2 linked regions of the Caenorhabditis elegans genome follow. The protein of the gene in region 1 purifies or fractionates together with the protein of each later gene. This does not show direct contact. Each region holds a gene or a part of one and is shown in the gene's direction. Other genes may lie near its edges.

Region 1 (5,734 bases):
TTGTGATTTTCTTTTTTGTTAGTTTCTTGTCCAGTATTTTTTCTTCATACCTTCACAAACGTTTTTATTTTTAAAAGATATCGTTTAATTTTAACTGAAATGATTTTTTAAACTTCATGTACAAGAATCAATTTAAAGAAAAAATACGTTAATTTTTAAGATTTTGATAAAATTGTATAAACTAGCCCCGTTTCAAATTATTTTGCAAAATTGCCAGATTTCCAATAATTGTTAACTTTTTGAGTATTTTCCATCATTGCTGCAGAGTCGAACCCGTGATGATCAAAATAATAAATGTTCAAAAAAAATTAATTTATTTATTTATTTTATTTTAGTTTATATTGAATTAATGAGTTTTATGCAGTTGGAGATTTTAATGAAATCCAAACTTAATCTACCAGAGGATGCGCCCAAATCCCATTTGGCTAACCAGCTAAAAGAAACTGTTTTATTGTATTCATTTTATGCATCGATTGCAATACTTGAGATTCCAAGACAAATTTCAGTGGATGAATTTGCCTGACTCTGAGAGACTCTGAGAGAAAAAAAATGCTTAGCAGTTTGAAAATCGTTGAGTGGAAGAAGATTTAATACGGATTGAGCGTATCTGATTGGGAGCATAGGAAAAATTACTATTAGTTTGAGTTTAAAAATTTGTTTAATAACGACTACCTGAAGCAGTCAGCATAATCTTTCTTTATATCTGGTCCAAAATCGCACTTTTGTCGAGCTCTAGGAGGCATTCATGCAATTTTCGGTTGAGCTGCACAAGATCCACCTGTAACACTATGTTTTGAAATACAATAATTATCTTTTTTTCAAATGAAGTATGGATAATACCGTATATCTTCTATTAATATGGCCTCCCTATTAGTATTGCCCCTCGGAGACCTTCTGAAAATTAGTATTGCACTCCCTAATAATCTTGCGCTTACTTTTTTTTATTGCGAACCCGTATCGCTGATTTCAGGATTTCAACAGCATTTTTTGCCTATTTTGCAACAGTTTTTCACAAAATTTTTACGAGATTGAAGTTTTTGAACTTATATGCTACAACTAAAATCAAATTTTCTAAATTTTCACATAAGATTCGAGCTTTTTTCGAAAAAACCCAGTAAGCTCAAAGTCAGAAAAAATGTTCAGAAAATTAGTATTGCACTCCCTAATAGCCTTGCACTCCCTATTAGTATTGCATAAAATATTGCAAGAAAAAGCACAAGAAATGTAAGAACATTCAAGAAATTTCAATAAATGGCAAGCCGTTTAATTTTTATCAAATGTTGTGATATAGTTTAAAGTAGGCGAGTAGACAATTCATTAAACCTACTAATCCACTCCTGGAACAAAATTTCATCGAAAATTATGAAAATATTGCAATTTCAAAATATTTAAGATTTATCAGTTTTTCATGTCCAATCTTTTAACAATAATAAACATTTTTCAGCTGCCTAAACATTATTTGTCCAAAATCCAATACAAAATTTCCATATTTTTATAAAATTCCATACACTTTACTAATTTTTGTCGAAAAAACCTGAAGATTTAAAATATTTCTTGCACTTCTCTTGATATTTTGTTCCAGGAGTGGATTAGTAGGTTTAATGAATTGTCTACTCGCCTACTTTAAACTATATCACAACATTTGATAAAAATTAAACGGCTTGCCATTTATTGAAATTTCTTGAATGTTCTTACATTTCTTGTGCTTTTTCTTGCAATATTTTATGCAAGATTTCTTGTTTCTTGTATCTTGCGAAAAAAAAAGATCTATAAAATCTCATGTACTCTTCTCTCAATTTGATGAGTCCAACAAAAATGTCTCTATATAGAAAATTTGCACGGTTTTGCCAGAAGCCGTATGACTCTGACATTATTTCAAACATTAATTTAATTTTTTCACAAGAAACAAGCGTGCGATCAACAAGCGATCACGAGAAACAAGCGTATCCTTCAGTTTTGACCTTGGAAAATATTCAGTTATCTGACATTTAAATCTTGAACACATCCAATTAATAGTAATATTTTATTTTAGGTATATTGAAATAGGTCAAGTTTACTAAAAAAAAGTTTACCGATATGACAAAAAACATGGGCGGGGACATTCACAAAGAAATTCATTTATAAGCACTTCGTTAAAACATGTACTCTTCTGTCAATTTGATGAGTCCAACAAAAATGTCTCTTATAGAAAATTTGCACGGTTTTGCCAAAAGTCGTATGACTCTGACATTATTTCAAACAGTAATTTAATTCTTTTTTGAACGCTCGGAGATTAATTTAAGAAAATATCGAATTGTCCAGATGGGCAGCCCAGAGCCTTGCAACATCCACCAGTTTCTGGTCGTAAAATTCCTTTTCATCTTACTTTCCCTGAACGTTGTCACATTTTTCATAATTGCCAAGAATAGTGAGTTTCATTTCAAAAAAAAAAACACCAAAATGCGGAATTCTTTTTTGTTGATAAGTCTTGAAAATGTTTCGAAAAAGTTCAAGAAATATTTTTTAGAAACTTAGGGTTTTGCAAGTCAGTTTGCTTTCAGGTCAAAATGAATGCGGGGCTGAAGTTTTCAATATTTATAATGCCAACGCAATCCACGAACTCCGTTTCAAGTACCGAAGAGACGAAGGACAGTACAGAAGAGAACTGTACAAAGCTTCAAAAAATAATGATAATGGGGAATTCTACGAAAAAGTAAAAATAGAGGCACTGTGCCTGACGAAGGAAAAAATTGGAGGATTTAAAGATGGAGGAAAATACGTTTGCAACCCCAAAAAGGCTGGCAAGAAGAATTGCACGTAAGTTACTTCGTGGATTTCATTCAAACTTGTACTTTCAGAATTGTGTCACTTGGTCTGAAAAATCAAATAAATTTTGACCTGCATATTCAGAATGTCACTGATGGCCGTTGTTTGATACTGGGAGCCGACAAGGTAATATTAAGATGCTAACGGTTCACTAAATGATGTTTTTTGAATATATCAGATTTACTGTATTTCCTCTATTAGTCTTGCATCAGTGGTGTGCGGCAAATTTGCCGAATTTGCTGTTTGCCGAACTCGGCAAATTTCGAAATTTGCCGCACACGTCAAAAATTTGACAGTATAATTTTGCCCAAAACTGTTGATTTTTTCGCCAATCATTTAGTAAGAAATAAATTATTTTGATGTTTAAACAGACACTACACGGAACTTATTCAGAAACCAGATGAGTGTTAAGAATTCAGTAGTTTTGGTGCTCCATTTACCAAAATTGTCGAGCTCGGCAAATTTGCCGAAATTGCCGTGCTCGGAAAATATTGGAAAACTAGATTTGCCAGGATTTGCCGAGCTCGACAAATTTTGAGATTTGCCGCACACCCCTGTCTTGCATGCTAATAGAGACTGCAAGACTATTAGAAGCGGCAAGACTAAATTTCGAATATCCAAGAACTTTGAAAAGTGACCTATGTTTTGTAGAAAACTGCACTGGGTACTGTTTGAACAAGGAAAAATATATACTTTTCCAGTATTTCATCAATTATTTACGCGATATTTACGCGAAGTTCAACCCAAAACATGACAGCCCTCAAAAAATTGGACATTTTCGGAGACGGTTGAGCTAAGTTACGACGTCCTGAAGTTGTTGAAAAATCAAAAATTATTTTCAAAATTTAAAAGTTTTGGAACTTTTTGAATTCTAATAAAAGGGACACATTTTTGTCTCACCAATTTTACATTATCACCAAATTTTTTCAGGACCCTCAAAACCAACAAACTCAAGAATCATATCGGAAAATAAACGGGAAATTGTTTACTGGAAAGATTCCAGATGAGCTAACAATTCCGTATATGCTTGAAAAGGCAGGAAAGCATGAAGTGGAACTCCTAAAAATTGATATCGAAGAAGGCGAGCTTACGGGTTTGGAACCACTAATTAAAGATTTTTTTGTGTGCCAGGTAACAAATTTACTTTAGTAGACTATGTATTAATAACCAATAAGTTTTTTTTCAAAGATCTTCATAGAGGTTCATGGCACACCCCTGAAACACTTGGATATGCTTCAGATCATGGCAAGGTTTGATTTTTCTCGATGTTTTCTTTGGACTACAGTTATGGTAACACAAAACCAGAAGCGTAACGGTCGCGATAAAAATGGTAGACACGTCTACCTTGATAATTTGCATTTTCAGATATCTTTGAATACGATAACAGTTTAAACTTTAAATGTATTTTTCTCTGCGCTTTCACAGACCTCCCCGAATCTGGGAAGACGGCCGACGTTGGTGCGCAAGTAGTGGCGAGAAAACATTAATTTGGCTGTTTCATAAATATTTGGTGTGACTGTAACTGTAAAGTATAGTTTTTGAAACCACCGAAGCTTGAAATTGCTGACAAATATAAATTTTCCCAAAAAATTAAAATAGGTGTAGGATACCTAGTGATAAAGCTCGTAAAGTCAGAGGAATAAAGTTGGTTGTCAAAAATGCGATTTTGTGATCGGTTTGATCCGCAATGGGACATGCATTTTTGCGTTGTTAATAATGATAGAGAAATGTTCAATCTTTTAGAAAAATACAATTTTAGCGATCAACATACTTAAAGAACGCCGGTATATTCAAATGAAACTCAAAAAGTGTGAGGCGCCAAAATGATGTTTTGATAAAGTTGATTCAGTTGTTTGAAGGCCTGCCAGAACTTCATGATTCAGTATATTGACATTCATTTTAGTTTATAAAATAGAGAAACAACTTTAGTGTTCAGAAAAACTACCCAAATATTTTTTGAACAAACGATATTCGAGATATACAAGAATTTCTAACAACAGGTCGTGTTACCATAATTGTGCCGCACCCTGTATATAAATTTCTTAAAATTATTTACAGAAAAATTTGACTTAAAAAGTTGAACTGATCAGTTCGACTCTATATTATTAATATCTTCACTTTAACTTCAGATTTTTAAACCACTAATTACAGGTACGGATTTCGAATATTCAATACTGAATCAAACCCGTTTTGCTCAACTTGTCACGAATATAGCTTGATTAACGAAAATTGTATGATACACTATGGAGCAGTTTTACTGGGACGAATTCTGTGATAAAATACCAATTCATTCGAGAACAACTCTTACTGGGTTTTTCTTGTTTCACTTATTTATTGAACACTTTATTTTATGTGACATATGTATAATGTTATAAATGTAATATCTTTATAATTTTTTGCCTGATGAATAAATATCAATATTAAGAATTTAAAAAAAATCTGTAAAACGCAACAAATTTTTTACTATTTCTTTTCAGAAAGTATGAAACAAGTTTTATGGACAGTTTGAGATTTGAGGCTGGACTTGGCACCAAACCGTCTTTTGAAAACATTATTAATTTAATTAAATAATGTTATTAATCTTTATAGTATATCAAACATGTTATTCAAAAACAATCAATGATAACGTTTCTAGTGTAATCGAATGGAAGAATTTTTCAAATTTTGCGAAAAGAAATGTTCAGTTGTCTGAAAATCGTTAAGCAGAAGAAGATTCAATATTGATTGGTCATATCTGAACATTGTCTGTTGGAGTATTTGAAAGATGTTCAAAAAATCCATACTGACCTGAAGCATTCAGCATAGTCTTTATCAGCGTCTGGTCCAAACACGCACTCTTGTCGAGCTCCAGGAGGATTCATGCATTCTTCAGTTAAACCACAAAGCACCCACCTGTAATTTTAAGTGAGCAATGAAGCTCGGTTTTCAC
Region 2 (7,303 bases), on another chromosome or scaffold:
GGAATTCTTTTAGATGCACTTCTCGATCTGGAATGTGGAGAAGCTTCTCTTCGATGCCGGTTTTATCCAATTCCGTGTCAACTGCTTTTCCTGTAATTTGAATTTTAGGAAAATTTCCTCACATTTCGGCAGTTTAGTTTGTTTTTTTGTATGTTTCACTCAAAATTCTAAACTATCGAAGAAACTCCGACGAGACAAAATTTGTTAATTCATTATAGCTATTATGTTACATTCTCTTTTTTTCCAGTTAAATCTCACAAACTTTTAATTCTCAGCGACAATATCGAATCATCGAGCTCTTTCTCGGTGAACGAGAAGCTTGCCGCTTCTCTGCACGTGTCTTCGATGTTATGAGCTTCATCCAAAATGACAATCGAGTTTCTTATCTGAACATCTGACGAATTTCGAATCAATGGGTCCACCAGATACGAAAATGGACAGAAAATGATGTCAGCGTCTTGGGTGAGAATTCGGTTTGTGCTGAAGTAGGGACACAGCTGAGGATATGATATGGCCAACGTTTCGACAATTTTTTCCATATCGAATACCACTGTTCCCTGCAAAAATTGATATTGCCCGTTTCCTGAAGCTACTTTTATAATTTTCAATATGGTTAGGTTTTTTTTAAAATTTAGAATAAAATTTTTGATGTAATCTTTAGTTTCCAAATTCAGTTTTTTTAATAAATGAAAAAAAAACGAACATTTCGCTCTAAATGATCCCTTAACGGTAAAGCTTTCTCAAATCGTGGTTTCATAGCACTTTTGAATGAACAACCAATCTGAAATTTTTTTGTTTTAATAATTAAAAAAAAATCGAATTCATACCGAATGTGCACTGTTCACTTCTTTACAGTATTGTGAGATGTCTGCGTGTTTACGAGCGGCCGGATTGATGCAAGATTGTTCTCTGCTTGCGAGAATTGTGTGTCTGAATACAAAATGAGAAGATTTACACTAGGAAATTTGAATTTACTTCAGAATTTTTGCGTATGGAAGACGGGAGAACTCTTTAACGACTTGAGCAATTTGCTTGTGGGTTCGGGTGCCGTAGTAGATTCGGACGCGACTGAAAAATTAGAATTACAGAATATTGTTTGTTATGTTTCCTGGTCTCGCAACGAACCAAATATTTTGGAAGCTGTATCTGTATTGGAAGATCTATTTATTTTTTTTTTTCGCTATTTTTTGCAAAAAAGCAAATTATATATATATATATATCAAATCTTACGGAAGACACGTGCATTTCGTCTCAACGGGCTCCGGTTTTTTTACCGGCTCCAGCTCTTCTTTCAATGTGACGGGCGGTGTTTCTCCTGGTGTATGAGGCGTGAAATCGTGCTCCCATTGTGCCTCGACTAAATAAAAACATTTATGATAAACTCCACTGAAAATAAAATCCTACAAAGTTTATCGTTTTTCACTGGCACAGGCTCAATGAATTCCTCTTCTTCCGGTGGCTCTTCATATACTTTAGATTCTAGCGGTATTCCAATATCGTTAGTGAACACCACCTGTGTTTTTCCTGAAAATCCATGGATTTCACATTTTTCCTTTGATTCTCGCTTCTCATCGATATACTGCTTGAGCCATGCACACGTAGATGCCAGCAGAGCCATAGTTTTGCCACTTCCCGTCGGCGACTCGCCAAGCACATTTTGACTATTTTTCAGCGCCGTCAGAATTCTCACGATCATTAGTTTTTGAGTCGAGTAGAGGCTCAATCCACGTGGCACGCGTACCGGTACACCGAGCATCATGAGCTGCTCATACTCGTCGTTTTTGATCTGAACCCGCTTTCGTTTTCCTTTTGCCGGATTTTTAATCATCTCCCCGGCAATTTCATGGTGTAACGGCTTTTTATCATCGGGTTCTGTTGATGTGGACGGCTGCTCCTCTTTCACAACTTGAAATGCCGATCGGGTATTCGATTTTCCTTTGTTTTTGTTTGCGAACATTCTCCAAAATGCATCGCTTGAGGACATAATTACCTGCAAATGGTATTTTTCTATAAATCGCAATAACGAAAACTTTGAAAAACATTAAATTCAAATTATTTTATTTGGAACCAAAAAACAAATTTTCACCGCGTACGCAATGTGTCGTCACGGTGTTTGCACACATTACCTTATTTGCAGATCTGCAGAGCTCCGCCACGCATATCTTTTTTGCTCAAATTCAGTAGAATTTTAAAATATTTTCCACTCGAAATCTCTGAAGAGGCATGGAAATCGACGACTGTATTCGCGATAATATTCCCTGGGCGAATCTATCTCCAGATATCAAGGTTATACTGGGAAATTCGTCGAAAGAATACGAAAAGAGAGTTTTGGAGTACTCGATTCAAAATCAGCTTCGATATAAGGGGAATTTGAGTAAGTTTTTCAACTTTGAATCTTGATTTCGAACATTTCATTGCAGTACGGCACATGAAAAAGAGCGAGGAAGCGTACTATGAGCAGCTTCTACGATTTTCCGAGTCACACTTGATGCTGTACCCTTATCACTTATCAGACATCACCGTCACCGAGATGCGGCTCTCCCCATTCAGTTATTATGCGAATATTCTTACCGTATGTCTGAAAAATAGTTGATTTTTCAGCAGGATTTAATTTTCAGGAGATGCTAAACACCGAAAAGTCGTACGATTCTCTTCCAAACTTCACAGCCGCCGACGCAGTGCGATTACTTGGGATAGGAAGAAATCAATACATTGAGCTAATGAACCAAACTCGTTCAAATCGGAAATTTCTACGTCGTAGCAAGTCGGCGAGGGAGCTTTTGCCACAAAAACCAACAAAGATGATTGTCGAGTCGTGGTGGAGAACGAATGTCGGTTCGATTCTAGAAAGTGACGTGAAAACACTGAATGGTGCGATTTGTTTTAGTAAATCTTTTTAAAACAAAATTTAAATTATTTAGAAGAAGAGAAACAAGTGATAGATCGCCTCCTCGACACCAACGTGGCAATTCCGGCGGGGCTTCTAAAATATTCTGTTGTGACGTCATTGTATGATCGAGGACTGATATATTTCGATGTTCCTGTTTACGATAACGATTATATCTATGTGGCACCTCTAGATGGATTTGTGATGAATCGGGTGCTAGGAGACTATTTCGAGACTCTCCTCTATAAAATTTTCGTAGCAATTGACGATCAAACAACTGTTTTGGAGGTTTAATAGACTAATTTTCTCATATTAAACACAAAGTTTTCCACATTTTAGATGTCGCAAATCCTACACATCGATCTTCAGCTCGTTAAAAACGCGATTTCCGTGTTCTGCAGGCTAGGATTCGCCAGAAAACGTGTTACCGGCGGAGAGAACCTGACAATCCACACCTCCTGGACGTCAAATTCCACTGTAACTACACCAATGTCACCGATTTCTCCTATGTCGTGAGTGGGAGAAATGTTTGAAAAATTCTTAAATCCTAAGTTACAGAAGTTTGATCACTAGCACATCGGACGAGCTCAACGAGTTGACTAAAACACTGCTACGTGGCGATGACGATGAGACAGACGACGCGTTGTCGCCGGTATCGGAGGATTCAGCTCTTCGAGCTTCTTCGCCAAATCCTTCATTAAATAATTCTGTGGAAGTTAGTAATAGACCGGTTAATACAATGAGAAAATCTCAAAATCTAACCATTTCTGTAGAAAAGTATTAATCTGAAACTTTGATTTTCAGTCATTCCAATCCCTTTCAACATCCCAAACGGCTTCCGACCTATCTGGATCTTCTGGAACTGTTAATAGAGCTGCATTCATCTTCGATTCAACACTTACCGCATTTCTGATGATGGGAAATCTGTCGGCTTCGCTGAAAGGCCATGCAGTAGCACTTTTCGAAGTGGGAAAACTTGCTGACGAGCAAATGAAGGAATTTTTGGAGCAACTAGAGTCTGTAAATCAGTTTGCGGAAGGAGATGCACAGCGATACTCAATGCATGCAACTGCTCTACTGGATTCATTGAAGAGTTTAAGACAAGAACGTGAAGCTGATCTGATTAGAGGAGAAAGTTTGTATACACTTGATGAAAAAAGCAGACAGAGGGTTTTGCAGAAAAGTTATGGGTGAGTTATTATAGAGAGAAAAAAGTGTAACCGAAAAATTTCACACACAACCTCAGCCCTCGATTCTTGGGTGAAATTGAGTTTTCTTAAAAACCATTGGTAATTACAATTTCAAAAAAAAATCTAATTCGCAATTATCTGTATTTAATTTCAAAATTCGTCATACGCTTTTAATTTTTTTAAAGTTCAATTTGCATTTTACAAAAACTTTTTGGCAGGTTTCCAAATTTTGTTGGCAGAGTTTCAAAACTTTTCGGAAATTTTCAAAAATTTTTCTGCAATTTTCCAAACCTTTTTGGCAGATTTTCAAAACTTTTTGGCTATTTTCCGAAACTTTTCGGCAATTTTCCAGAACTTTTTGGCAATTTTCCAAAACGTTTTGGTAGATTTTCAAACTTTTTGGCAATTTTCCAAAACTTTTTGGCAATTTTTCAAAACTTTTCGGCAATTATCCAAAATTTTATGGCAATTTTCCAAAACTTTTTGGCAGGTTGCCAAAACTTTTTGTCTTTAAATTTAAGAGATTGATGAAAATAAATAAATAAATCAAAATCCTCGAACCGAAAAAAGAAGCTGACGGTTAAAAAAACGTTATATTATTTAAAATTCGAATTATTTTCATTAAACGGTTAGATGAAAATGCAAGATACCCTCTTGCATTTTCTTCATTCTATAATGAACAGTTCAGAAACAATGTCTTTTATGAACAAATAAAAAGTTGCAGATTTTCCGTTTTTTTTGCCAATTTTGATAAAATCAATCGTGATCAAAAATCCCCCGACATAAAAAAACGTCGAAATTGTTTTCTTTTCCAGAATCCTAGTTGCAATGGCTCCACTTTCAATCGAAGCGTGTGCAATTCCCGTTCAATCGGTTCCTCTAATCGGTCCACCAAACGCTGAAACCTGCTCCCCGTGGTTCCGTCTCTCAATCTATTCGGCGTGTTCTAGTGGCCCTCCAAGTGTATTTCTTCCACACGGAACTCGTCTAACAACTCTTCCACGTGTACTACAAAGCTTCCAACATCATCGGTTCCTCGTATCAAGTACCAAGCATGAACCACATATTATGACAGCTCAAAATGCACTTTTTGCATTGAATGATATGTTGGTTTATTCATCGATTTTTGTTCAATCAGTACCTCTTGACAGTGAAGATTGTGATAAAATGATCCATGTACCATTTCCATTCGAAGATTTGGAGTGTGAAACTGCATTCTGCAATCATCCAGCGATCAGAAAGCTCCGAGAGCAGCTATCACTAGATTTTACAGCAGGATATGTAATTTTACTTAAAAAATCTGGAAAATCTATCACGACATCAGGCTCAGACATCAGTGGAAGAACAAAAGCGGAGAGCAATATTATGCAGGATGTCTCATTACCAAAAGATGGTGGTTTACTCAAAAAACTGCTGCCAGGCACTTCTTTCGACGATTTTCTACTATTGGATTGTGTTTTTGGAGTACCGTTGTTCAATTCGGTGCTTAACGAGACGATTTGCAAAAGGATTTTGGGGCGCGGCATTTTGGAACAACAGAAGTTCGTTTTTTTCAACAGCCTCTATGAAAATGTACGAAAACAAAAAATTATTCGAAAAAATTATTTTGAATTTTGAAAAGAGTATTATCTTTGCCAAGAATACTTTTCATAATCTTAAAATATCAAAAATAATTTTTTAGAAGTTTCGAAAGTTTAACGTGGCAAATTAATTGCGTAAAAAATTGTGTTTCACAAGAAAAAAGAAAAAGAAAATTGTTCATGTAAAAACCAATTAAGTAAGTAAGTATAAAAACTTTTTGGCAATTTACCAACACTTTCTGGCAGGTTACCAACACTTTGGCAGGTTACCAAAATTTTTTGTATATTCACCAAAACTTTTTCCAATTTACCAAAACTTTTTCCAATTTACCAAAACTTTTGCCAATTTACCAACACTTTTTGTCAGATTAGCAACACTTTTTTAAAAATTAGTGATTACTTGAACTATTTATTCACTTTATTCGCAAAAAAACTAAGAAGCGCAGCAGATTACGAAAAAAAAATTTATCCACGAAATCTGGTATAAATTGAATAAATAGTTCAAGTGTCACTAATACACTATATTCAACAACAAAATAACTATTTTCGATTACGTGACACTTTCTCCGGCAACAAAACGGACTTGTTTTACCAGAGCATTGGGAATTTACCGTATATTTTCTATTAGTGCGGCATCTGCATCCAATAAATTCCACTGTATGCAGCACTGATAAAGAATATACGATATTCGTAATACAAAAAACCACTTAAAGAACCTGGAAGTTCATGTGCAAAACTTTTTATAGCCGTCCACGTGGCAAGATATTTTAGAGAACTTAAAATAAAATGTGCGTGCCCTAATTTTTTTCGTAAATTAGTTTTATTTCCAGCCGCTCGAACATCCAAAACTCGAACAAACAAGTGGTTGGAATGATAAACGAGTTAATTGACACAGCGAACAACGGGCTCATCAAAGGATCACAATTGTTTGTCGAAGGAACCGATCAACAGCGGAACGCACAAATCGTGCCGCCCGTTCGAGCCATTTTCTTTGATTCTAGTCAGCTGATTTCTTATGGAACTATTTGAATTGTGATATATATATTGTATGCTTATGTTAATTAAATTAAACTATTTATCAGAGGATTAAAAATAAATGTGATTTTACAAGAACATTATCAAAGATTTCTCAAATAATTAGTGATTGAATGATGTGTTCCATGGCTAATAATGCTTGATTCGATGGCAAGTTTGATTAGTTTTACTAATTTTACAGATCTTTTCGATGGTGAAATACGAGATATACATTTACATCCAATATACAAACGACGGGTCACTTCTGGAGCGCCGATCCCAAGACGAGTTCTGAAAATATATTAAGTAATGCTTTAAATTCATCTATTCCCGTTTCCGGAAATTATAAATTTTCTAGAAACTCAAAAATTAGATCTTTCAATATTTCGGTTTTTTCCAGAAATAAAATGTTTCAATTTTGTGGAAAATGTTCGTATTTTCATGATTTTAGAAAAAAAAATTCTTCAGAAAACTAGAATCAGATTCGTCTTAAATGTTATTTACGTATACTTTTTCTACATCAACTGAGCTAGGATATTAAGATAAACTTACATAAAATGCTCACTGCCTCTTCCAGCGATCAAGTCCAAATCCAAGTCATTCACATTTTCCAGTGAACTGCTACAATAAGC

What was found.
Region 2: the proteins of R05A10.8 (region 1) and F33H2.2 fractionate together in Caenorhabditis elegans (co-fractionation; one large-scale study listed by BioGRID). This does not show direct contact.

Annotation. Positions count from the first base shown.
Region 1 is NC_003282.8:14,154,616-14,160,349, reverse strand, and holds R05A10.8 (Methyltransferase FkbM domain-containing protein), read left to right. Parts: upstream 1-2,163; 5' UTR 2,164-2,301; coding exon 2,302-2,407; intron 2,408-2,540; coding exon 2,541-2,796; intron 2,797-2,837; coding exon 2,838-2,931; intron 2,932-3,542; exon of another isoform or gene 3,543-3,564; intron 3,565-3,735; coding exon 3,736-3,936; intron 3,937-3,993; coding exon 3,994-4,055; intron 4,056-4,956; coding exon 4,957-5,080; 3' UTR 5,081-5,224; downstream 5,225-5,734.
Region 2 is NC_003279.8:15,020,997-15,028,299, forward strand, and holds F33H2.2 (Protein FAM91A1), read left to right. Parts: upstream 1-2,171; 5' UTR 2,172-2,223; coding exon 2,224-2,374; intron 2,375-2,420; coding exon 2,421-2,572; intron 2,573-2,618; coding exon 2,619-2,871; intron 2,872-2,921; coding exon 2,922-3,175; intron 3,176-3,226; coding exon 3,227-3,399; intron 3,400-3,445; coding exon 3,446-3,602; intron 3,603-3,691; coding exon 3,692-4,077; intron 4,078-4,892; coding exon 4,893-5,618; intron 5,619-6,487; coding exon 6,488-6,686; 3' UTR 6,687-6,765; downstream 6,766-7,303. Other genes in the region: dog-1 (Helicase ATP-binding domain-containing protein), read right to left, coding at 1-90, 263-557, 704-781, 828-930, 976-1,068, 1,231-1,357, 1,405-1,984; set-10 (MYND-type domain-containing protein), read right to left, coding at 6,776-6,962, 7,224-7,303.